Linked DNA regions of Rattus norvegicus. The protein of the gene in region 3 purifies or fractionates together with the protein of the main gene of each other region. This does not show direct contact. Links are inferred from orthologs where the notes say so. Each region holds a gene or a part of one and is shown on either strand. Other genes may lie near its edges. The genes, in order: Faslg, Birc2, Casp8, Tnfaip3, Nlrc4 and Tradd.

What was found.
Region 1: the proteins of Casp8 (region 3) and Faslg purify together in Homo sapiens (co-immunoprecipitation; 8 studies listed by BioGRID and IntAct, with this or other methods). This does not show direct contact. The link is inferred for Rattus norvegicus from reciprocal best matches to the Homo sapiens genes CASP8 and FASLG.
Region 2: the proteins of Casp8 (region 3) and Birc2 purify together in Homo sapiens (affinity purification with western blotting; 4 studies listed by BioGRID and IntAct, with this or other methods). This does not show direct contact. The link is inferred for Rattus norvegicus from reciprocal best matches to the Homo sapiens genes CASP8 and BIRC2.
Region 4: the proteins of Casp8 (region 3) and Tnfaip3 purify together in Homo sapiens (affinity purification with western blotting; 3 studies listed by BioGRID and IntAct, with this or other methods). This does not show direct contact. The link is inferred for Rattus norvegicus from reciprocal best matches to the Homo sapiens genes CASP8 and TNFAIP3.
Region 5: the proteins of Casp8 (region 3) and Nlrc4 purify together in Homo sapiens (affinity purification with western blotting; 3 studies listed by BioGRID and IntAct, with this or other methods). This does not show direct contact. The link is inferred for Rattus norvegicus from reciprocal best matches to the Homo sapiens genes CASP8 and NLRC4.
Region 6: the proteins of Casp8 (region 3) and Tradd purify together in Homo sapiens (affinity purification with western blotting; 6 studies listed by BioGRID and IntAct, with this or other methods). This does not show direct contact. The link is inferred for Rattus norvegicus from reciprocal best matches to the Homo sapiens genes CASP8 and TRADD.

What each region holds. Positions count from the first base shown.
Region 1 is NC_086031.1:76,687,743-76,690,123, reverse strand, and holds the end of Faslg (tumor necrosis factor ligand superfamily member 6), read left to right. Parts: intron 1-773; coding exon 774-1,168; 3' UTR 1,169-1,881; downstream 1,882-2,381. UniProt on the Homo sapiens protein: Cytokine that binds to TNFRSF6/FAS, a receptor that transduces the apoptotic signal into cells. Involved in cytotoxic T-cell-mediated apoptosis, natural killer cell-mediated apoptosis and in T-cell development.
Region 2 is NC_086026.1:13,268,741-13,272,956, forward strand, and holds the start of Birc2 (baculoviral IAP repeat-containing protein 2), read right to left. Parts: upstream 2,801-4,216; 5' UTR 2,159-2,800; coding exon 1,248-2,158; intron 1,167-1,247; exon of another isoform or gene 1,116-1,166; intron 1-1,115. UniProt on the Homo sapiens protein: Multi-functional protein which regulates not only caspases and apoptosis, but also modulates inflammatory signaling and immunity, mitogenic kinase signaling, and cell proliferation, as well as cell invasion and metastasis.
Region 3 is NC_086027.1:67,756,770-67,760,820, forward strand, and holds the start of Casp8 (caspase-8), read left to right. Parts: upstream 1-1,251; 5' UTR 1,252-1,540; intron 1,541-4,051. UniProt on the Homo sapiens protein: Thiol protease that plays a key role in programmed cell death by acting as a molecular switch for apoptosis, necroptosis and pyroptosis, and is required to prevent tissue damage during embryonic development and adulthood.
Region 4 is NC_086019.1:15,541,180-15,545,304, forward strand, and holds the start of Tnfaip3 (TNF alpha induced protein 3), read right to left. Parts: upstream 2,801-4,125; 5' UTR 2,588-2,800; intron 2,033-2,587; exon of another isoform or gene 1,829-2,032; intron 1,605-1,828; exon of another isoform or gene 1,463-1,604; intron 1,452-1,462; exon of another isoform or gene 1-1,451. UniProt on the Homo sapiens protein: Ubiquitin-editing enzyme that contains both ubiquitin ligase and deubiquitinase activities.
Region 5 is NC_086024.1:26,745,759-26,749,938, reverse strand, and holds the start of Nlrc4 (NLR family CARD domain-containing protein 4), read right to left. Parts: upstream 2,801-4,180; 5' UTR 2,697-2,800; coding exon 2,696-2,696; intron 1-2,695.
Region 6 is NC_086037.1:50,045,557-50,049,658, reverse strand, and holds Tradd (tumor necrosis factor receptor type 1-associated DEATH domain protein), read left to right. Parts: upstream 1-1,500; coding exon 1,501-1,651; exon of another isoform or gene 1,652-2,196; coding exon 2,197-2,474; exon of another isoform or gene 2,475-2,554; coding exon 2,555-2,747; coding exon of another isoform or gene 2,748-2,782; exon of another isoform or gene 2,783-2,866; coding exon of another isoform or gene 2,867-2,891; coding exon 2,892-3,202; 3' UTR 3,203-3,602; downstream 3,603-4,102. UniProt on the Homo sapiens protein: Adapter molecule for TNFRSF1A/TNFR1 that specifically associates with the cytoplasmic domain of activated TNFRSF1A/TNFR1 mediating its interaction with FADD.

The DNA.
Region 1 (2,381 bases), on a different chromosome or scaffold from region 3:
AAAGTCCGCGGGGGGGGGGGGGACTTGTGATGTAGATCCAATGGGAGCAGCAGACGGTGAAATGATGATCTATTTCGAGCAAGAGGAGACAGTCTTGGCATTTGTGGGCTTTCAGCCTAAGATTATAAAGTGAAAAAGTGGTTTAGTACAATTGCTATGAGCCCCTCCACTAGGAAAATAAACATCCAAAATGTGGGTAAATATCACAATAAGAGGTCTAGCATGGCTCTTGTAATCACTTGGAGACTTTAGAGAAGTCTGGGTCTATAAACACTTATTGAGTACTTGCTGTGTGTTGGTCCATTTAATCCTGTATGAATACAAAGGAAGGGGATTAATCCAAAAGAAGAGGCCAAGGAATCCATACTAAATGAATGGACTACATAATCATGAGACTTTGTCCAGATGTAGAGCTCCAGAGATCCCTTTCTTTATGGAGGGGTCCCTAAGCCCGGAAGTATTGGTACTAGTTTAGGTCATAAAGTGTTTATTACAAAGTACTGAAGTTATCCTAATAATCTTCCCCGAGTTTCACTTGAGGCACACACCGAATTTGTCCTAAACACATGGATGATTAAAATGAGGTGGGGAATTTGACAAATGTGTTGAAGAAACTCAGCGGTGGACCATGTTTTAACTCCTAAGTCACTCGCATCAGCTGTCATTCTGGTTAGAACTTTTGTTAAGGGAGGCCCCACAGTTTTGCCTTGGAAGCTTAGAGTGTCAGATATGTGAACATTTCTGGCTGAATGCTCCTCTCTGGTTTATTACAGGGAACCCCCGCTCAAGGTCCATCCCTCTGGAATGGGAAGACACATATGGAACTGCTTTGATCTCTGGAGTGAAGTATAAGAAAGGCGGCCTTGTGATCAATGAGGCTGGGTTGTACTTCGTATATTCCAAAGTATACTTCCGGGGTCAGTCTTGCAACAGCCAGCCCCTAAGCCACAAGGTCTATATGAGGAACTTTAAGTATCCTGGGGATCTGGTGCTAATGGAGGAGAAGAAGTTGAATTACTGCACTACTGGCCAGATATGGGCCCACAGCAGCTACCTAGGGGCAGTATTTAATCTTACCGTTGCTGACCATTTATATGTCAACATATCTCAACTCTCTCTGATCAATTTTGAGGAATCTAAGACCTTTTTTGGCTTATATAAGCTTTAAAGGAAAAAGCATTTTAGAATGATCTATTATTCTTTATCATGGATGCCAGGAATATTGTCTTCAATGAGAGTCTTCTTAAGACCAATTGAGCCACAAAGACCACAAGGTCCAACAGGTCAGCTACCCTTCATTTTCTAGAGGTCCATGGAGTGGTCCTTAATGCCTGCATCATGAGCCAGATGGGAAGAAGACTGTTCCTGAGGAACATAAAGTTTTGGGCTGCTGTGTGGCAATGCAGAGGCAAAGAGAAGGAACTGTCTGATGTTAAATGGCCAAGAGCATTTTAGCCATTGAAGAAAAAAAAAACCTTTAAACTCACCTTCCAGGGTGGGTCTACTTGCTACCTCACAGGAGGCCGTCTTTTAGACACATGATTGTGGTATGACTATACAAGGGTGAGAAAGGATGCTAGGTTTCATGGATAAGCTAGAGACTGAAAAAAGCCAGTGTCCCATTGGCATCATCTTTATTTTTAACTGATGTTTTCTGAGCCCACCTTTGATGCTAACAGAGAAATAAGAGGGGTGTTTGAGGCACAAGTCATTCTCTACATAGCATGTGTACCTCCAGTGCAATGATGTCTGTGTGTGTTTTTATGTATGAGAGTAGAGCGATTCTAAAGAGTCACATGAGTACAACGCGTACATTACGGAGTACATATTAGAAACGTATGTGTTACATTTGATGCTAGAATATCTGAATGTTTCTTGCTAATAAACTCTAATAGTCTTCAAAACCCTTTTATTATCAGCTACTGATGCTGTTTTCCTTTAATACACTAGTATTTATGTTCTGTGTATCTTAATGAAGAAAAGACAAATAAAATTATGTTATAGAATATAGAGATGCATTAAGGACACAGGCTTTGGAAATCGGTGAGATGTGCTTATTGTTTCTTTCCTGCGTGGTTTCTTCATCCATAATGGCTTTGGAGAACTCTGAGAAGAATTTGCACAGGTGAGTAGAGCCGTGTGACAAATTCCCCCATCTTCGTTGGTATCTCTTCTCTGGACCTCACATTACCCTGAGTTTTGTTTATCAGCATCATGACTAATGGTAAGTGGACCCAACTCTTTGTATATTTGATGGCAGCTCATATTTTCCTGGGGCAGAACTATGACAAAGTAGAAAGGACATGGGCTTCATAGTTAAACGGCTGAAGTTGAGTCTTTGTCCTTTTTCTTAGCTTACTTTGCAGTCTTTGGTTGACCTC
Region 2 (4,216 bases), on a different chromosome or scaffold from region 3:
AGTCTTGCCACCTGAGTTGGTCTGGGGTTCACAATGTGGCCCAAGTTAATGTTGACTGGACAACTGCTTCAGCCTCCAAACTGCTAGAATTATAGTGTGTGCCACCACATCTAGACAAAATTAACACTTTTAAGTAAATTAAATATATCAGTTTTCAGAACAACAAAAGAAAGGAATCAAAATCTATCTTTTTGTTTTGGTTTTTGAGACGGTTCTAAGTAGTCCAAGTTGGTTTCAAAAGTTGTATCAGACTCCTGAATGTTAACACTACATTGGACCTGACATACAAAAATTTTGATCATAGTTCATGATAATTTTATTTTGGAGACAGGGTCTCACTATACTCTCCTAGCTGACCTGAACTTGCTAAGTAGAATGCATGCCTCTGCTCCCAGTGGCTGAGATTAAAGGCATGTGGACGTGGGTGCATTACCTGGCCCATCATATAACTATTTACTGTTTAACAATGTATTGATCCAATATAAATAATTAAATCAAAATTCCTGTTCATCATGGACCATACAGAAGTGAAAGGTCCCTGTAACTCCCTCAAAGAGTCCAACAATTCCTCATTACCATGGACGGCATGCAGGGGTCCAAGCTCTCTTTACTGTATACTCCCACTTATATACGTTGTGGATGTAGTACCTAGAGTAGGAAGGTTCAGATATAGCAGGCAGAAGGGTCGGTGCCGGGGGTGTGTGCAAGTGTAGAGGATGTTTCATCTGGAGAGGATGAGGGCTCTGGGGGTGACTCTAAAACAGTACTCGTGTCCTTTACACCACAGAAGAATACATTTCAGATGGCTAAATTAGTAAACTTTATGTGTATTTTAACATAACAAAAACACCTAACAGTCCATTCATTTTAAAAATGAGGTCCAACTGCACATAGCTGATCAGTGTCAAATACAAAAATTCCAATTTTATTTCACTAACAACTGTGCTCTTAAATTTATTCTAAGCAATAATAAAAATTAAGAGGTTAGGGATGTAAGCAAGAGAATTTGTCAACCAGATGTGAAGCCCTGGGTTCAATCCTCCATACCACAATAATAAACAAATTTTAAAAGTTTTTAAGAACCAATTACCAAGCCTGGCAGTGGTGGTACAGACCTTTAATCCCAGCACTCAGGAGGCAGAAGCAGGTAGATCTCTCTGAGTTCAAGTCCAGACTGGTCTGCAGAGTGAGTTCCAAAGCTACGCTGAGAAACCCAGTCTTGAAAACAAACAAAAAGAACCAATTACCTTGGAAACCATTTGGCATGTTCTATCCAGGGGTCATCTCCGGGTTCCCAACATCTCAAGCCACCATCACAACAAAAGCATTTGACATCATCATTGTGATCCACATAATAAAATCCAGCACTTGCAAGCTGCTCAGGCTGAACAAGAACACTCGATGGCCAGTACAGAAACGTCCTCATCCGAGCAGAGTGTGTCTGCATACTGAGATTGGATACACTAAACCTCTGCGTTTCTGAAGTATTTTCCAGAAATGGACAGTGGGGAAAATGTCTCCTGTGCTCTGACAGAGGATCATCGTTCGGTTCCCAGTTGCTCAGTTTCCCACCACAGGCAAAACAGGCCACCCTGTCTCCAGGCCCTGTGTAGTAGAAGCCTGCTTTGGCCAGCTCTGCTGGGGACAGAAAACTTAATGGCCACATACTGTAAGAAAGAAACCTGGCCTCTTCTGTACTCATGGCATAGCTGCAGGGATTCATCCTCAACGAGAAGTCTTCCACTGCTCTAGAATTGAGAGGGTTTGAGGGCAGGCTGGAATGAATGCCACCTTGTTCCAGAGGTAGCGAGTGTGCAAATCTACTTTTCGCAGGAGACGTGTTCTTAGCTGCAGACTGCAGACCGCCTGAAAGCAAAGTCTGCACAAAGCTGCAGCTGGGATAGAACTGTCTGTGCTTCTCAGTGGGACTGTCCCCTTGTTTCCAGTTGTCCAGCATCAGGCCACAGCAGAAGCACTTGACCTTGTCATTGACACCTGTGTAGTAAAAGCCAGCACGAGCCAGACTCCTCTCTGAGACAGGAACTCCCCTGGGAAAAGCTGAGTATGTGGACATTCTGTAGAGTTCACATGAAAAGTCATACTTCATTTTTTCTTTGTTTTCTTTTGTCCAATTTGACAAGACTGTGCTATTCTCCATTATACCGTTAGTTTACTGGGGTAAGGCACCCTGGACAAGTCTCTGGGAGAGTTCTGTGCAGGAATAGTAATAGTATTTCTGGCAGCTTAAACTTCCATATGAAGCTCCTCACTACTTCACACAAGATCTCTACCATAGACGGGAATGAGACAGCAGACAGCTAACTGGACACATTCACGGTCTTCTGACTGAACTGATGAGTTCACACTCACAGGACAAATCTGTCTCATATGACAAGACACTGCTCGGGACTCTCTGGGAAATCACATGAACTCTTCTGGGTAACCCGAGAGCTATAGACCCAGAACCTACTTCTCGTTATTAGTTATAGGGCAACTGCTGACTGTATATATGCGGGCTCTTTTCCCTTTAAGGACTTAAATCTGATGTCTGAACTACTTCTTTTCCTAGCAAAGGAAAGGACCTGAAGTCTGCATCCTGTATTTCCTCAGAACTAATGTCATACAGCTCATCATTATCACAGGACTCTCTAAAGTGGGTTACATCAACTGCATAACTTCCAGGGAAGTCAGCACAGCTCTACTAAGACTACAGGATTTGTTATAAATAAACAGTGCTTAAAGCATAAACTATTACTCTCTCATTGTTATATAAATCTCATATATCACCACCTTAATTCTGTGTCTATCATTTTAATACATCTGGTCAACAGACAGTATTTTGTACATAATCTTAGACTGCATTTTATAAAGTCTGCCAGTGTTTAAGGCCCAATTCACTATAAGTCTATTATAATTAAGAATGAGTCAATTGGAGACATGGCTTTCTTCTGTTATCACAAATACAAGAACCCTGTTTCACCACGGCTTTTCTGCTGCACAAATGTACCATACTCGTCTTCTTTTCGAAAACTCAGGATTTTATGTAACTATTCATTGTGTATGTGTACTCCAAGCAAACTGCATCTTCTTATAAAAATGTTCAGATCTTCATGTCTGGGCTTATTTCTATGGGAACATGGGAGAACATAAAGGCTCTTGAGGGCTATAAATCTGAAAGAAAAAAAGATATTTTTGAAAACTAATTGCACAGAATTGTCCTCCTCAATTTATTCAATAATGTCTAAAAACGGCCATTCTAGATAACACATCCAACTACAGCAGTTCCTCTCCCAAGTCTACTTAGAAAGGCTCCAAATCAAGGCACACACTGCGAAAGTACTCCTGAAGTACTAACTATGCCTGTCTTTAAAGTGCACAGCGCTGTATTGTTTAACAAGCAAAACTGAAAACAAATGCACATTTCCATTTGACAAAAATTGGTCCCTGATTTCAAGTTTGTTCATTTTATGTATTTTTTATTTACTATTAGACAAAAATGCACCATACTTAATGAACATTTTTTAAGGGACAGAGTCTTATTCAGCAGCCTAGGCTGGCTAGAAAGTCAATGTAACCCAAACTGGTTTTAAAACTTGGAATTCTCCTGCCTCAGCCTCCCAAGTAATAGGAACAGGCTACCAACAGGCTCCTTTTGATTTCTGATTTAAAGCTATTTTGATCTAGCACTTGACTGGAGACAAAAGGCACCTGTTAATAGTGAAAACATGGGTCTGAAGGACTGTTGCTATATTTGCCTTGCAGGTAAAGGACCCTAGGTTTAATCACAAGAAAAAAATTATATATTTTATATTATATTAAAACTATAAATTAAAATATAAATACAAATAATGTATTATAAAATATATTCATACACATAAATATGTGGATATAATACATAAATACAATATAAAATAAACAATATAATAGATATTTTATATTAAAATATAAGTATTTCCTGAGGATTCCCGAGGCATGCCTGCAATCTTAATCTCAACACTTGGAAGATGGAGGTAGGAAGAATGAGATGCTCCTGCTAGACAGAACAGTTGAACTAGCCAGGACTTAATTGGCCACAATAAAGGCACCGGGAAGAGCTCATTAACGGAATCCGTGAAGGACAACCATTCCCTAACAATTCCAAAGCAACTACCACAGACAGCGTCTCAAAACCAAAAGAGTACAAATGCCCATAACACAGAGGCCTGAAACAAGGCTA
Region 3 (4,051 bases):
GCAGTAGCAATTGTAAGGCAGTCAGACAATATGATCAAATGCACAGAACAGCTGATTATACCTTTTCCAGACCGAGACCCAGAAGGCTCGTGTGCTGTGTGCTGTCCAGGGTGCTGTTTTGCTCTCCTCTCATTAATCATTTGACCCTGTTCTTTAATTGCTCATCAGCAATAAATAATCATACCTGCTGTGGTGGGGTAGCCCGACTACGAAGTATCTACCACAACTGGCCCATTCGTATGGGTCTTGGATTACAATCTGGTGGCTTTAGCAGACGCATCCCTCACTCGGGAACCCTCCAGGTAGCAGCTGGATTGTGTTGGTGACATACTGGTCTGGTTTAACCAGATTTCACTGGTTTTGTGAAACACTGTTTTGGTGTGGTTTGACAAAATGTCCCCCGTAGGTTTGAGCACTTAGTCCCTTGCTAGTGGCGGTACCTGGGGGGAGGTTGTGAAAGTGAGTCTCTGGGAGCAGCCTTGAGGTTTTTTATAGCCTGACCATACTTCCTGACCAGCCTTTTAACCCCGCCCCCACCCCGCTTCAGACAAGTTGTTACTCTGTAGCCCAGTTTAAATTGTAGTTCATCACACTGCTCACTCTGAACTCCAAGTATTGGGAAGGAAGTTAGTATGTGGTAAAATGGGATTTTAGTCTTTGTATCTACTTGATGTTCTGGACTCCATAATTCTGCCTCAGCACTGTGGAAAAACATGTTACCATGAATTCCTAGAACACGGCTAGGAGCCAGGATTTCTCCAGTGTGTGTACTTCCGAACGCTTCAACTGCAGGCCCGTGTGACCCTAAGAACAGCCTTATAATATGATCTTGGTGGGGAGACGGGTCCATGAGTTCAGTGCTGAGTTCAGACCATGCCACAAAGTAAAATTTCTCTTTCAGCGTCTCCCTTGACCATCTAACTTCACAGTGTGAACCAGGCAGTTCCGTTCTGTCTCCCTTGCTGGTTTTTTGATTCAGTGCGAAATCACTTTCTTCTTGTAGTTGGCTCCTTTGAACTGTGTGTGTGTGTGTGTGTGTGTGTGTGTGTGTGTGTGTGTGTGTGTGTGTGTGTGTGTGTGTGTGTTTCCAGTGTCTCTGGGCTAGCCTGAACTTACCAGTTCTAATCTTCCTGCCCCTACCTCCCTGAGTGCTGACATTTCTAGAGCTGGTTTACCCATCCAGTCACAAGGTATAGGGTTTCTGTATGCAAGGAGGTGGGGTTAGGGTGGGGGGAATGAGGAAGTGTCCTTAAGAACTGGCGGGCGCTCCTAAGGCGGGCAGAGAGAAGCAGCCTATGCCACCTAGTGATTATCAGAAATTAGTCATTTCTGCTCCTTAGTTCTCTCAGTTGCCTTTCTCCTCCCTCTGACCTCCGGTGTTTTATAGTTCCGCTTCTTTGAATCCATAGTAAACTTTGGCGGACTGGCCAGGGAACAGGAAGTGAGCCCGGCTAGCGGCAGCCGGAGGCGGAGAGCGTCTCCCAGGGGTTGCTCGCCCGAGAGGGGAGCTGTGACTGGCGGGGCAGGGACTCGGCGACAGGTGAGTGCTGCAGAGTAGTCCGGTTCGTTCCTCTCCTACCAGCAGGCCGCGATCCCAACGGTGGCAATCTAGCCTGACGCTCCCCGAAATGCGGCCATCGGAGTACGGTCATCGCCTCCTCCAGAAAACTTTATTCGATTTCTTAGGCTAACTTTCTTTGTAGTCCGGCTCAGGACCTAGAGCCAGGTTAATTATCCGGTGGCATCACTGTGTGTTCTCTGACTTGCGTTGGGTTTCCTCCGGCGATTTTCAGGCTCCTCCCAACTCTTAAGAGACGTCCCCCAACCCTAATCCCAAATCCTCTCTCCCTTTCTACTTCTCCAACATCTCCCCTCCCCTGTTCTCTCCCCTTTCTTCTCTTTGCCTTCCCCTTTCCCTTCCTCCTATTCTCTCATTCTCCCCCACCTCCTTCCCCTCCCCTCCCCCTCTCCCTCCCCTCTCCCTGACCCTTTTCCCTCTAAGATCTGGCCTCGAGCTTCTTGAACTTCTGATCTTTCTGCTTCCACCTCAGGAATGCTGGCAGTGCAAGGGGTGGGAGTGACAGGGTACCAGCTCTGCACTTAAAACCACAAAAACAGCAAGGGGGCTGGGGAGAGGGAGAGCTAGAGGTGGCCTGAGGCCAATAATTCCTCTACATGCTAAGCAGTTATAACAGTGACTGTCATTATGTACCAGTGAGGAATTATCATACTGTCATATTTCTATTTCTTACTATTTTTTAAAGGGAGTCCTTTAAGTGCCTTCTGCTTGGCTAGGTCTCAGTTTCATTCTTTAAAATGTATTTATCTCTATTTTAATTTAATGTCTATGAGTGTTTTGCCTGCATGTATGTATGTGCACTTGGTGTCCAGGGGGACCACAGATCTCTCGAACTGGAGCTACAGACAGTTTCAGTCACCATATGGGTGCTGGAAACTGAACCCAGTTGGTCTGCAAGAGCAGTGAGTGCTCTTAAACTCCTGAGCCTTCTCAACACCAAATCTTTCGTTTTTTTAATAAGCATGGTAGTAATCGAATTAGCATTAGGGTGATTAGCACTCCCCTTTCTCACAAATCCTATTTAAGAAGGCCCAAGCACTCATATGTGGACACGGAAGAGCTGCTGTTCATGGCTGTATGCCTCAGTGTCTCTTCCCCAGTGGGGAGGAATGTGACACCTGGGGTCATTTAGGTGTTATTCGGTTTTGCCTGGTCATTTCTGTTGTGGGTTAAGTCCAGGAACTACCAGGCTTTCTCGCACAGCCTGTACAGCAAGCATGGCCACTTCACTCGATCAGGCTGCTTTTTTTTTTTTTTAATCTTTCAACTTAAAATTCTCTAATAAGAAAGTGTGCATCTTCTTGCTTTATTTACCATTCCTCAGATTTAATGTGGCATCCTATGATCTGTGTGGGCTTAGTGCCCATCGGGGAATTCCGCGTTCATACCCATTGCCTCTTTACAGAGTTTCTTTTCATTGATGATTTTCAGGCTGCTGTTGTATGGTTCAGGTGTTACTGTGAAAGCTTCAGTTGCTACCCTCAGGAAGTTTGTGGTCTTGAACAGGAAATTCTCAGAAGTGAGCCGGAACTGGGGCAGAGGTTTCAGAAGATGCTGGAGTAACTCCGGGAGTGGATTGGGGGCACAAACAGGATTTGATTCTGCTGCTCCAATGTTGCCCAGGTTCCTGGCAGAATCAAATGCCAGCTAAAAGTCCTGATATGGTGGTGTCACCTTTGCCCAGACCTTGAGGGTGGACACGTACTTTCAGGTGACTTATTCAGTTCCCTCAGCTGTAAACTTGGGGCCCTTTACTCGGAAAACTTACCTTCTATTTTATTCTGTGTTAGGTAGCAGAAAACACAGTTTCAAAGTTCTTTTCTCTTTCTTCTCTTTAACACCAGACAGTATTTTAACTAATTCCCAGCAAGCAGCTTATGTGTTTGTACACAGGTTTGTTCACATGGTGAAGGGCCCAGTGTTTGCCTCTTTGGTGAGATGGCTGTAGGAAAACCTTTGATTTTAGGTGGGTGTTTTTGGTGTTGTTGTTTGTTTTTATTTTTGTTTCTAATGGCTGTCAGTGGGAACTATGGAACTAGAAGCAGGGAGAACACTTCTGTGTAACAAGAAGAGTCAGCTGTGGAAGTTGCAGACGCTCGAAGCCCAGGACCCCAGGCCCATCAGAGGTGAAGTACACTGGGGGCCTCTTTTTACTAGTTAATAAAAATTTAGAAATTCATCTCTTTTTCTTTTTTTATATTCTAAAAGCGAGTCAAATGAAAGTTTTTCAGTTATATCCATACGATTTTTTTTAAATCCATGTGTTTTGTTTGTTTGTTTCGGTTTTTTTTTTTTTTAAGATTTATTTATTTTATTTACAGATGGTTGTGAGCCACCATGTGGTTGCTGGGAATTGAACTCAGAACCTCTGGAAGAGCAGTCAGTGCTCTTAACCGCTGAGCCATCTCTCCAGCCCCTCATATGATTTTTCTAAATTTCATAGATAATCAGTTGTAATGTCTCCCCTTTTGC
Region 4 (4,125 bases), on a different chromosome or scaffold from region 3:
ACAGAGGGATACTAAGGTATATCACACCTCCCAGAGAGGTGGGGGGGGGGGAACAGACACCAGCGCGCTCTATGACTTTAACTCAACTAGACCAACTTTTATTTATGGCTGCCCTTCCAGATCCCAATGCTCAGAGACCTCAACACCCTCCTTCCTTTACCATAAAAGATCGAGCGCAATCAAAGGTGGAGGAAATGAAATCAGGAAACGAACAGGAAGTATTGGAGTGGGGTACCACTCAGGACGAAGACTGGCCATATGACCACCCACGCCAACTATGCACGAATGTGGACTGATGATGCAGAGAGACCAATGTGGATCAATGGCCATCCAGGTCTGCTTCACTGTCCTCACAGACCCTCCTTGGGCACTTGACCACACATCCTAATTTCCTAGAAGACAGAAATGATATAGAGCACCTAGGAAATTTCTCAGCGAAGCTTAATGCCACTCCGGCACCATACTATCCTCCAATGCAAACTCACCAGGTTAAAATAAAAACGGTGTTAAGACTATGCAAGAGGGAAAAGAAATCGTAAGTTCTTGTTCCCTGCTTGGAAGGGAGGGGCTGCTCCTGGGAATTTGCATTGGGATGCTGAGGCCTGGAAGTTATTCTCTGTGCCTGATGACAGTTGCGCCTCGCAAGTAGAATTAGGCAGAAACATAGACAGAATGGGACAAAACTACCACACATACATCTCCTTGGTGATATAGCATGGTCTCTCTCACAATGTCATCACCCCATCCATGAATGGATGCATGCAAGCAGCAAGGCTGGACCACCTATTTAAGGCCAACCCTTGTGCCTGATGCGATAGCTAAAAATGTATGATTTCACTCCTAGCCTTGATATCTGTCAGACAACCCCTGCAGCTAAGGCAGTGATGGTCAGACCCATCTCAGGTCCAGCAGACGTAAGGATGCAGCTCTGCTCATAAGCCAAGTCTTCCTATTCCCCATCTCAATCCCTTGCTGGTCTCCTGATAGCAACCCTGGCGTACAGCATTTGCAGCTCTCAGAAACAGGCAAGGAGAAGTTTTGCATCAGTGAGCTGCACCTTGTTCTATTTTTATGGCTATTCTATTTTGCTCTTCTGGACCTCAAGAACTTTTAGCATAGATCTAAAAGTGGCGGGGGCTCTAAGCCATATGTAAGACATGCAAAGGTCAGTATCTGTCAGCCCACTAAGACCCCGTTCACGGACTCTGCCTTGCACTGCGTGCAAAAGTGCCTATTTAAGACAGAGCTTAAACCTCCCTCTGCCCAAGTTTCCAGTTCTTGGACTTCCCCACATTTAGAGAATAAAGTTTCCTGACATATCATTGTAATGTTTTATGGGTAAAAAAAAAAAATTAAAGCACTACCCTTAACTTTTAAAAATATATTTGTTACCTCACTCCCTTACAGATAAATTTCCCAATTTTTGTCACAGGATCAATAAGGTTCTTCAGAACTTACTCACCAAAGTCTTTCCCCCACTTTTATTTTTCCACTCTGAACAGATTTTTTTTTTTTGCCCGCGATGTGGAAACTTCTGTATTATTTATAAACAGATACCTCGGGCAATTGTTGGGAAGTACCCCTCCAAAAATCTATACAACGAGCTGCAAAAGATCCAAGTAGCATATCAGACCACAAGAATGAGCCCTGATCAACCGATAATAATCTGCTCAATAATCTAGGACATCAGCGTATGGAAGGCTAATGAACAATAATCAGTTCCAAACGGTGCCCCCCCCCCTCCACTTGACCAGACCAGCTTTCCAAAGAAAGATGAGAGAACAGGAGAACTAAAAACAAAGCATGCTCCAGAAAGAGCTCTTAATACCTCAGCTTTCCTGAGAGGCCAGGTGGCAGGATGTGGGACGAAGGACCCGGACTGACAAGTCACAGTCTGAGTGTGGAGTCAAGGCTGCAGTAGGGAGTTTTACATGCCACCAAACGTGGACTCCCCAGCAAGCAGGCCAGAGAATCATTTCTGCATGCATACTCTTATACCGGAGCAACTAGGGCCTTAGTGGCAATCTCAAAGCACGCCCCTCCCCTCCACCTCCCTCCCCGCAACCCTCCTCCCACATTGATCACTAAAAAGTTGGCTGGCTGAAGCCTCCAAGTTGGATTTGGTGGCCTCTGAGAAAACCATCCCCTGTTGGGCCAGTAATGCACAATATGGGAAGAAACCCCAGCGCGACTCTGCAAGGTCTACGTGCCTATGAACATGCTGCACTTGATTTCCAAAGGGGGGGCTGGAAGAGTGGGTACACCCACGACCACACGACCTAGGGACCCGAAGGGTGACTATTCATCAGCCAGCTGCAGCTCACGTCACCCTGCAGGATCGGAAAGGAATAGCTAGCTAACCAGACGGCTGGAGAAACTTAGGGCTGTCAACCTAAACACTTGGCACCCGGACCTCAACTCTGGCCAACAATACCCTCACCCCAGAACTCCTGCAAAGCCATAGCAAGACAGCTCCATACTGAGCTGGCCGTGCACCCTGAATCTGGCTGGCACTGCACCCCTCTGGCCGTGCACCCACCCCCCCTGTATCCTGCTAGCCGTGCACCCCAGCCGGAGTACTGCTCACCTCCTGGGGCCGCACGGAGCCCTCGCAGAGCCCAAGTGGCCGATCAGCCGTCACTGGCGCGAGCCGTAGCCGGGGGTCGTGGTTCGGGTCGTGGTGGGGGTCGGGCCGAGGCGGAGCCCCATGGACGCCCGGTCGGGCTCTCTGGTTGGGGGTGTGCACGTCTCTCGGCGGCCTAGCTCACCGCTCCGCCTCCGGCTCCGAAGGCTGCAGACTGGGCAGTTCCCTTTTTTTGCCTTTCAGTTGTATGCTTCGCCACAGGGGGATTTCCGAGGGACTTTCCAGTCACGTGACTCCCGCATGGCGAGCGGCCGGCCAGCAGAGGGCGCTCGAGGCCGTCCCCGCCCCGCCCGGAGAAACTCCTAGGTCCCGCCCCGGGGTGTCCCCGCGTGAGTCACCTGGGCATTTCGGAAGCTGCCTTCCACGTCACATCCATGTGGAAATAGTGGTGATGGGAACTGGAAATGCAATAGGTTCTTTTTTATAGCCTCTTTTCTGAAGAAAATCAGCTGTGAAAAGGAAGGGAAATTAGAAAGAAAACCCTAAAAACCACCCAGACACACAGGACCTCAGGCATGAAGCCGGCTTTGAAGTCTGGGCTGTGCACGTGATGGACTTAAGAAAGAACCGTTCTCAGGGTCCTGAGGGGATTGAGAGAAAAGGCCACAGGGTTCTCCAGACCCTGTGTCAGCTTCAGGCTGGATGCAATGCAGAGTGAGATGAGACACCATGATCCTGCAGTTTTTGAGTTACAGGGGCAAGGTCAAATTCAGAGAAAATTAAATTCACCTCCATCACCCCTACAACCCTCCATTTGCTCCGTTTCTCCTTTATTTCCGTGCTCCAAGGAGCATTAAGGTTTAGAAAGTGCTTCAAGTTTATTACTGTCTCCCCCCATCCTCTACAGTTGTTTTCTTAGGTGTTGTTTGGTTTGCCTGAGAATTAGTTCACCCCAAGAAGCCACTGGTGGAGAACCTTCCATATTGTCCTGATCCCCGACTACAGCTTGCCTTTCTCTAGAAGGGAGAAAGCTTCGGACACAGGGGCTTGAGCTCTGCAGAGAGAGAGAGAGAGAGAGAGAGAGAGAGAGAGAGAGAGAGAGAGAGAGAGAGAGAGATGCTAAAATGCTTTTACCTTCTTGGAGTTTTTCCTCTAGTGTCCCCTTGGCCGAAATCCTAGAAAACAGTAACGCAAACCAGGCAGATAGTCCGTGCCACTGTGACTTTAGGTATGTTCGTCAAGTTGCCAAGTTGCCAGGAAGTATACTGCACGTTTGAACTAGAAACATGTGTTCCTGTCCCCAGGAGTGACTGGGCTAGGTGACAGAGCACAATGGCATTTTTTAAATTATTATTTGTAAAGGGGGGCTTGAAGCAAGAGTACTGGCCACTACTCCAAGATTGGTCTATCCGCTAACTCCCCCCACCCCCTCCACATATCCCTCCACCTCCCCCCGACACACACACACATCCCTCCCTACACCGTTTCTATTTCAAATCTGGTAATATTTGTCTTCTTACAGATGTTTTCAGCTTCGGACA
Region 5 (4,180 bases), on a different chromosome or scaffold from region 3:
TAATGAGCCCCATGAAGGATTCAATATTCCCACCAGTCCCAGTTTTAGATAACCATAGATGCGCCCTGGCTAACAAAAATCTGAATATCTAGCACTTTTCCAGTGAGAACCAACCAGGGAACACACTCTGTGTAACCCAGGGAGCTGTTAAGGAGAACTGATGCCTGGCATTGCATACAAAGTCATGAATGTGTCAGCATGCTGGCTATCATGCTCACTTCTTGTCTTCCTACCACAACTCAAAGGAGTAGGTGTTTTAGCTCTCACAAGCTTTAAAGATCTCTACAAAGTATTAGACAGTATTCAGTCTAAGCTCTTGTTTCTCTTAGTCTCTAGAGAGGCTACACCATTTTTTTTTTGTTTCTTCCTCTGCAATGCCTTAATCTACACTGGGGTTTGATTTGGTTTGGTTTGGGATTGACCTACAACCTCATGCATTGGAGGCAAACTCCCTACCATTGAACCTGTTGGCCTAATTCTGAGCCAAACTCTCAAATACAGACAAAACTGTGCCCAGATACTGTATGTAGTACACACCGTCTGTGACATCAGAGGCCCCTCTCCCTGTCTTGCACTCTCAGACTACAAGTTCTCTTTGTACTGTAGGCTTGTCCCTTACATGCCTCATGACTGGAGATTGGAGAGTGAAGATGTCTCTCTCAAAGAATTCAAGTCCTCTCCAGTCTGAATTATACTCAGGCAGCCCAACCCTCAGGGATCACTCCTGCCCCACCCCCTAACCCCCATTGCGATCCCCACTGCTAAAGACAGCAGAACAGCTGTCCACACTTGTCTGCAAGTCCTCTGAGGGAGACCCATTGCTGCCCCCTGGAGTCTCACTCATATCTGTGGCTTCTGCATCTTTGTTAAGAAGATAGATATGTCTGTGTTTACTGGAGATTTTCGTTTTATGGCAAAAGGCACGCAAGTCTCTGAGAAGCCTGCAGCCTCTTGCCCATTAGTGTGGACTGCCTCTGAAGCTAGGTATCGTCTCACTTTAAAATGAAGACACCAAGTTCTCTTAGCCCTAAAAAAAAAAAAAAACAAAAAAAAAAAAACAAAAACTTGGTGATATTGAAAAAAGATGTGCTTGGTGTGGCGGCACATGCCTTTAATACCAGCACTTAGCAGGCTGAGGCCAGCCTGGTCTACATAGTGAGTTCCAGGATAGCCAGAAACACACAGAAGGACCTTTCTCAAAGAAAACGAGTAAGATGTATGAGCCGTGTGTGTATGTGTGCGCGTTTTAATGTTTAAAAAGGATACTATGCAACCATATGTATACTATGATATTCTGTGTATAAGATAATCTTATTACTAGCTGTGGATTACCTCAATTCTATAGAACTTAACCATGGAGCTGTAAGATACAGTCAAGACTAACCATGCTGTAACTAGTGGATGGGTAGTAACTAATGACTTTGATGTCATGTAACTAAAGATGTTAGTTTGTTCATTCGTTTGTTTGTTTGTTTAGGGGACAGGGTTTCTCTTGTAGCCCTGGCTACCCTGGAACTCTGTATGTGGACCGGGCTGACTTTGACTCACAGAGCTTCTTCTACCTCTGCCTTACAAGTCTGCGATTTAAGGTATGCACCACCATGCCTGGCAAGATGTTGTTCTTAATCATGATTTGTGCCCATGACTGGGATCCTTTTTGATCACACACGAAAGCCTGTTCATTAATTATTCTTTTTTTCCCTAGAATATCTGCCTCTAGATTAGCACTTCGCGGTGGACCATTGTGCAATGGTCTACATTCTTGTTTGCATTTCCCAGGGTGAGCTCTATTAGCCATACATGATTAGCCAGGGATGGTTTGTGAGAGCCATTAGCCGCTGGTGGCTACTGAGCACTTGATATGCGATAAGAATGAATGTGTAACTGAATTTTGCTTGGGTTCATTGTTGTTGCTGTTGTTTGTTTGTTTGCTTGCTTTAAGGGCCTTGTTATACATCCCAGGCTGACTCGTGATCCCACGTCTTCAGGTCCCAAGGGCTGAGACCCTAGGTATGTGATGCTATGTTCTCATGTGCAATTGGGTTTTATGTCAAATTCGATTTTAAGTTTAAATTTGCAATTAAATGGCCATAGTGGCTAGTGGGTACTACATTGGAGAGCACAGGTCAACACTGGGATCAAAATGGAAACAGAACTTGGGAGCTTCAGAAGCATTCATGTCTGTGCCATTTCTCTGAAGTGATTGGGTATAGTTTTCTGAAATCTAAATGCAAGTCTGTGATTGAACAGGTTAAAGCTGGTATCATCTGGTCACTCTTTTTTTTTTTAAAGATGTATTTATTTATTTTATGTGAGTACACTGTAGCTGTCTTCAGCCACACCAGAAGAGGGCATCAGATCCCATTACAGATGGTCGTGAGCCACCATGTGGTTGCTGGGAATTGAACTCAGGACCTTTGGAAGAGCAGTCAGTGTTCTTAACCGCTGAGCCATCTCTCTAGCCCACTTGGTCACTCTTTACATAAGCCTTACCCCATCTGTCATCTGCCTTTCTTCGTAAGCTCGCCATATTGTTTTTAACGAATTCTCAAGACAACATAGAATATTTAATTGAGAAGCCCACAGATAATTCGTCAGACGAAAGCGTGAATCGCTTTTCCATTTAATATCATCAATGAACTATCAATAATCTCATAATAATAAACTAGACAGATGCTGCTTATTGAATACTTACTTGTGGTGAGTCAAACCGTCCCACTTTTCTTGATCTCAGTAGAAGGTATTTCTTTTCCAAACAGGAAGGCCAAAGACGATCATAATGTTGTAAGGTAAGGCTATCCTAAGAAACTAACAAAAGGAAAACAAAGGCTGAAGTTGCTTGTGACTAGGGCAGCGCTGCTCTTCCACATGAAGAGTGACACCCAAACTATCTAAAACTTGCTCAGGGTCTGGGGAGATCGCTCACAGGCTGACGTGCTTGTTGTGGAAGAGTGAGGACCTGATTTCTTATCCCCAGCACCCACGTAAAAATCTGACCCTAGCATAGAGTGCAGGTAGAGATGGGCTCACTGGCCTCTAGTTTCACTAACCAGTGGTGCCAGGGTTAGTGAAAAACTCTGTCGGGAACAAAAAGATAGAGAGTAATTGAGGAAGACACCGGACATGATCTCCGGCTTCTGCGCGTGCGCGCGCGCGCACACACACACACACACACACACACACACACACACACACACGTAGGCTCATATATTTGAATGCTGAGTCATCAGGAAGTGGAACTGTTTGAAAGGATCAGGAGGTGTGGCCTTGTGGGAGCAGGTATGGCCTTGTTGGAGGAAGTGCAGGATTCGAATGTGGGCTTTGAGGTTTCAAAAACTCTGTGTCTTCTCTCTCTTCTGTCAGTCATGTACCTGGGTGCTATCCAAGGGGATCTGTGGGGCTCTGGCCCAGTGGGAGTGGCCAAAGAGTTGCAGCTCTTTGAGGGGGAGGGGGAACAAGTCAGGCTGCTGGGTTTCTTTGGAGGCTGCAGCAGGCCACAGCAGGCAGCCAGGAGCCTAGGTCAGGGCCACAAAACAGGAAGTGGCTGCAGTAGGCTCAAGGAGCTTCCAGCAACAAAAGCTTCAGGGGGGAATCCTCTTCCCTTAGGGTGCTACAGCTTGATAAGACAGACACTCTCAGAGTCTTTGATGAGATAACTCACGCACTTTATTCCTTGTGATTAGGGTCTTATAAACATTTTGGGGTGGGGTGGGGTCTAAAGGCAGAGGTTTTCTATTGGCTTGGTCTGAGATGTTAGGGAAGCCTCATCTGCATGTGGAGGGGCTTCAGGTGCTGCCCTTACGTGACTGAATCTCACAGTCTTCTCCATGGTGTGTCGTAGTCATGTATCCCAGGACTGGTACATGATCAGGAGGAGATTTAAACTCCTACCACCCTCAATTATGAGACTTTCTGGGGTTTCTGAATCCACTCGACCTTACCAGATTTTCCGTCTGGGGGCAGGGTCCACTGCCCCACGCTCTTCCTGCTGCCTGCTGATCAGATGTAAAAGTCTTAGCTATTTCTCCAGCACCATGTCTGCCTGCGCGCTGTCTCGATGATAATGGACTGAACCACTGAAACTGTAAGCCAGCCCCAATTAACTGCTTTCTTTTTTTTCTTTTTTTCTTTTTTTCTTTTTTTCTTTTTTCTTTTTTCTTTTTTTTTTTTCAGAGCTGGG
Region 6 (4,102 bases), on a different chromosome or scaffold from region 3:
GCAGTCTAGATGATGCCCTGTCTAGGTGATTCTTAACCTTGACCAGAGCCAGAGCTCTATTAGAGATTTAGAAGCAGGATTGTGGCAGGAGATGGATGGAAATGATCTTCGTGTTGAAAGACTCTGTTCTAGTGTGGACAGTTAGGAAATTTGTTTAGGGATAGTTGAAGAAAACAAGGGCCTAATAACAAAGTAGAATGATTTAGCTTACATAACTGAGCAGTCAGGATGGTCAGGGATAGCTGGATCCGTAGTTAAGCGTGTTTGTCCTCAGCCAGGCATGGCGGCACATGCTCTCGGGAGGCAGGGGCAGGGGCAGGGGCAGGGGCAGGGGCAGGGGCAGGGGCAGGGGCAGGGGCAGATGGATCTCTGTGAGTTAGAGGCCAGCCTGGTCTATAAAGGGATAGGGAAATCTTGAAACACCCTCTCCCCCGCCAAAAAGTTTGTGTCTGAGATGGAATGCACAGTGTAACAGTTAAAAGAACTGTCAGTTCTTCCAGAGGAACCCGGTTAGATTCCCAGCACCCATGCTGTGGCTCACAGCCATTTGTAACTCCAGTCTCAGGAAATCTGATGCCCTTTTCTGGCCTTCATGGGCACAGCCATGCATGTAATACATAGATCATACAGGCAAACCTTGGGAAGGAATCAAAGCGCGTGGATCTCTGTGAGTTGGAGGCCAACCTGGTCTACCGAGTGAGTTCCAGGCCAGCCAGGAACTAGTCCATCACAGACATAGACCCTGTCTCAGAAAAACAAAAAACAAACAATCCAGCCAGGAACTAGTCCATCACAGACATAGACCTTGTCTCAGAAAAACAAAAAACAATTGTGTCTTCATCTCTTGACTTTATTTCCTTCCATGTAGACTTCTTCCTTCCCTCAGATAGGTTCTTCCTAAGCAGGAGCCAGAGATCTATTCTGTCCCTTTAATTCCACACCAAAGATGGGGAAGTTAGTGCCTCTTTATCAGTGGTCCACCCAGCAATACAGAGTTGAGTGTCATTAGTCCAGTCTGAGCCCTATATCAAGTTCTGACTGGGTCCTGAAGAGTGGTGAACAGGATATGTAGACTGACCAGCCTTGCTTTTCACATTTGAACTTGGATCTAGGCAGGGACAATTAAGTGGAGCCAGGTATAGGGGGAGCGTGGGTGGTCCTTTTGTCCTGCAGAGGCTCTGGGAACTTAAGCTGAAGGCAGAGCTAAGACACGAGTCCGGTAGTCTGGCTGGTTTTGGAGCATGCGCACCATTCAGGTGGAAGATACCTTTTGTCAGCTTTCATAAGAGAAACATACTGGCCTAGGACCCACCTCTGTTCTGCTGTTACTGTGACCTTAGACTTCTTGTCAAAGGCAGTGGAGGGATTCATGCCTGGGTTGGGCAGGACTATGAGCAGAGTCAAAAGCTGGGAACTCTGTGGAAGGACAGCTGGACCACATGAGACTGGATAGTTGTTTCCAAGTCTGGAGATGATCTATTTGCATCTCTAGGAGGCAAGATGGCAGCTGATCAGAATGGCCATGAGGAGTGGGTGGGCAGTGCATACCTGTTTTTGGAGTCTTCGATGGACAAAGTGGTCCTATCTGAAGCCTACACAGATCCCAAGAAGAAAGTGGCAATCTACAAGGCTCTGCAGGCTGCATTGTCAGGTGTGTGTGGCTGGGAAGGTGTAGTGACTCTGGGACTTTGTAGGAGGGACTGGGATTGAGAGCCCACTTCTTTGCTTTGTGGTTTAGGCTCAGACACTCTTTAAGAAAAAGATTATTTGGGTGAGGGGTTGGGAGAGGGATGAGGAGAGAGGGAGCACTCCCGGCTGTGTGGGGTCTGCAATCTTCCTTTGCTTATTGTATGTGTCATTGAGTGTAAACATTTGTACACTTTCCTGTGCCTTCCAGATCTACCCATTTCTCTTCTAATGTCAGCTTGATTTACATCTGTCTTTACTTCTGAGCAGCCAGTTCTCTTTGCTACTAATTGCACTTTTCTGTCTTTTCTTCCTCTCTCACGGCAGCATTCCTTGCCCAAACTCCTCCCCAGTACCTACCCTTTCCGTTCTCTCTGGGCAGAGAGCAGTAGAGGCTGAAGGTGGGGGTTGGGAGAATAGGCCGGACTACGGGCTTAGCTTCCTCCTCTGGCTGCTGGAAGAAAAGTCCTGTTTGGGGACAGCGGGTGGCCTGACTGATCGCCTCCGCAGAGAGTGGGGACAGCCCCGACGTACTGCAGATACTCAAGATCCACTGCAGCGACCCTCAGCTCATCGTTCAGTTGCGTTTCTGCGGGCGCCTGCTATGCGGCCGCTTTCTCCAAGCCTACCGCGAGGGGGCGCTGCGCACCGCACTGCAGAGGTGCATGGCCGCGGCGCTTGCCCAGGAAGCAGTGCGGTTGCAACTGGAGTTGCGTGCTGGTGCGGAGCAGCTGGACAGTTGGCTGACCGACGAAGAGCGCTGTTTGAATTACATCTTAGCCCAGAAGGTGCTGGTGTCTGTAGTTAGGATGGGATGGGTGGGGATTTGCGGCCAAAAGCCGCACTTACTGTGCACCCCTTTGCGCAGCCCGACCGGCTCAGGGACGAAGAACTCGCGGAGCTGGAGGATGAGTTCTGCAAACTGACGTGTGACTCCACTGGCCAGGGTGGAGCCACACAGGTAGCTCCAGCAGGTTCGAAGTCCCTGGTTTCCTCTCCGGCCGAGGAGAAGCCACTGCCGGCCGCCGGCCAGACTTTTCTGTTCCATGGTCAGCTCATAGGTGAGGTTCACCAGCAGAAGCGGGGTCACCAGCAGGTAGATCTGAGCCGGAATAGGGCTGGGCCCAGGTATCCCCAGGCGGGTGCGGGATGGTGCGAACTCCGGGGAACCGATGCTTACTTACCTCTCCTCCCTTCCTCCGCAGTGAACCGGCCACTGAATCTGCAAGACCAGCAGACATTCGCGCGCTCAGTGGGCCTCAAGTGGCGCAGGGTAGGGCGCTCGCTGCAGCGTAGCTGTCGAGCACTGAGGGATCCTGCCCTCGACTCGCTGGCCTATGAGTATGAGCGTGATGGGCTATATGAGCAGGCCTTCCAGCTGCTGCGCCGTTTCATACAAGCCGAGGGCCGCCGTGCCACACTGCAACGCCTAGTGGAGGCGCTGGAGGAGAACGAGCTCACTAGTCTAGCAGAAGATCTGCTAGGCCAGGCGGAGCCGGAAGGCGGCCAGGCTTAAGTCTAGTACTGTGGGAAAGGGCCACTGGTCAACCAGTTCAGCCAGTGTTTGGAACCCACTGGGGACTGTTGGGGTCCTTTTACTGCTGATGTTGCTACTGCTGGCTATTTGCCATCCACTGGACTCGGAGAACGTACACACTCCCCTACCTAGCTGAGCTGCTGGAGTGAACTAACTGCCCCTCCCCCTCCCCAGGAGCCAGGCAAGCACCGCAGGGGTACAGAAAGAGGACTTCCTGCAGAAACTCACTAAGAAACTGGACCTTCTGAAACCTAGATGTCATTCAAGGTGCTACAAAAACTGTCACGAGCAGGATGCACGATTTTCCCTGCCCTTGGCTCATTCTCATCGTGGGACCTAAGTACTTGGCAGCGATAATAAAATGTAACCCTTTTATAGACTTGTGGAAATACTGAGGTCTAGCCCAGGTTGTGGTTAGTCACCTTCAGGGGAATAGTGAGCCAGGTGGAGAGGAGAAAGGGGCAGGGTTTTGGGTACAGTAGGCTCTGTTGGGGCCTTGAGGAAGATGAGAGGGGTTCTTCCTGTCTTCTTAGTGAAGGATACCAGGGGTTTGGTGAATCACTCTATACTTGGGGTTTGGTTTGTGCGTGTGATCTTTTAAGTATGTGCTTAAAACATCTACGGTGTGCCTGAATTAGAAAATTAAAATTACAGCCAGGCGGTGGCGCACGCCTTTAATGCTAACATTGGAGGCAGAGGCAGGTGGATCTGCTACAGGCCAGCCTGGGCTACCGAGTGAATTCCAGGACAGCCAAGATTCCAACACACACACCCCCGCCTCTCCCACCTTTTCTACTGAGGTCATTGGCCTTGTTTCCACGGAGACTGAAGCATGTAAGACTCAGACATTTTACATAGCATGTGGCATTGAGGATGTCG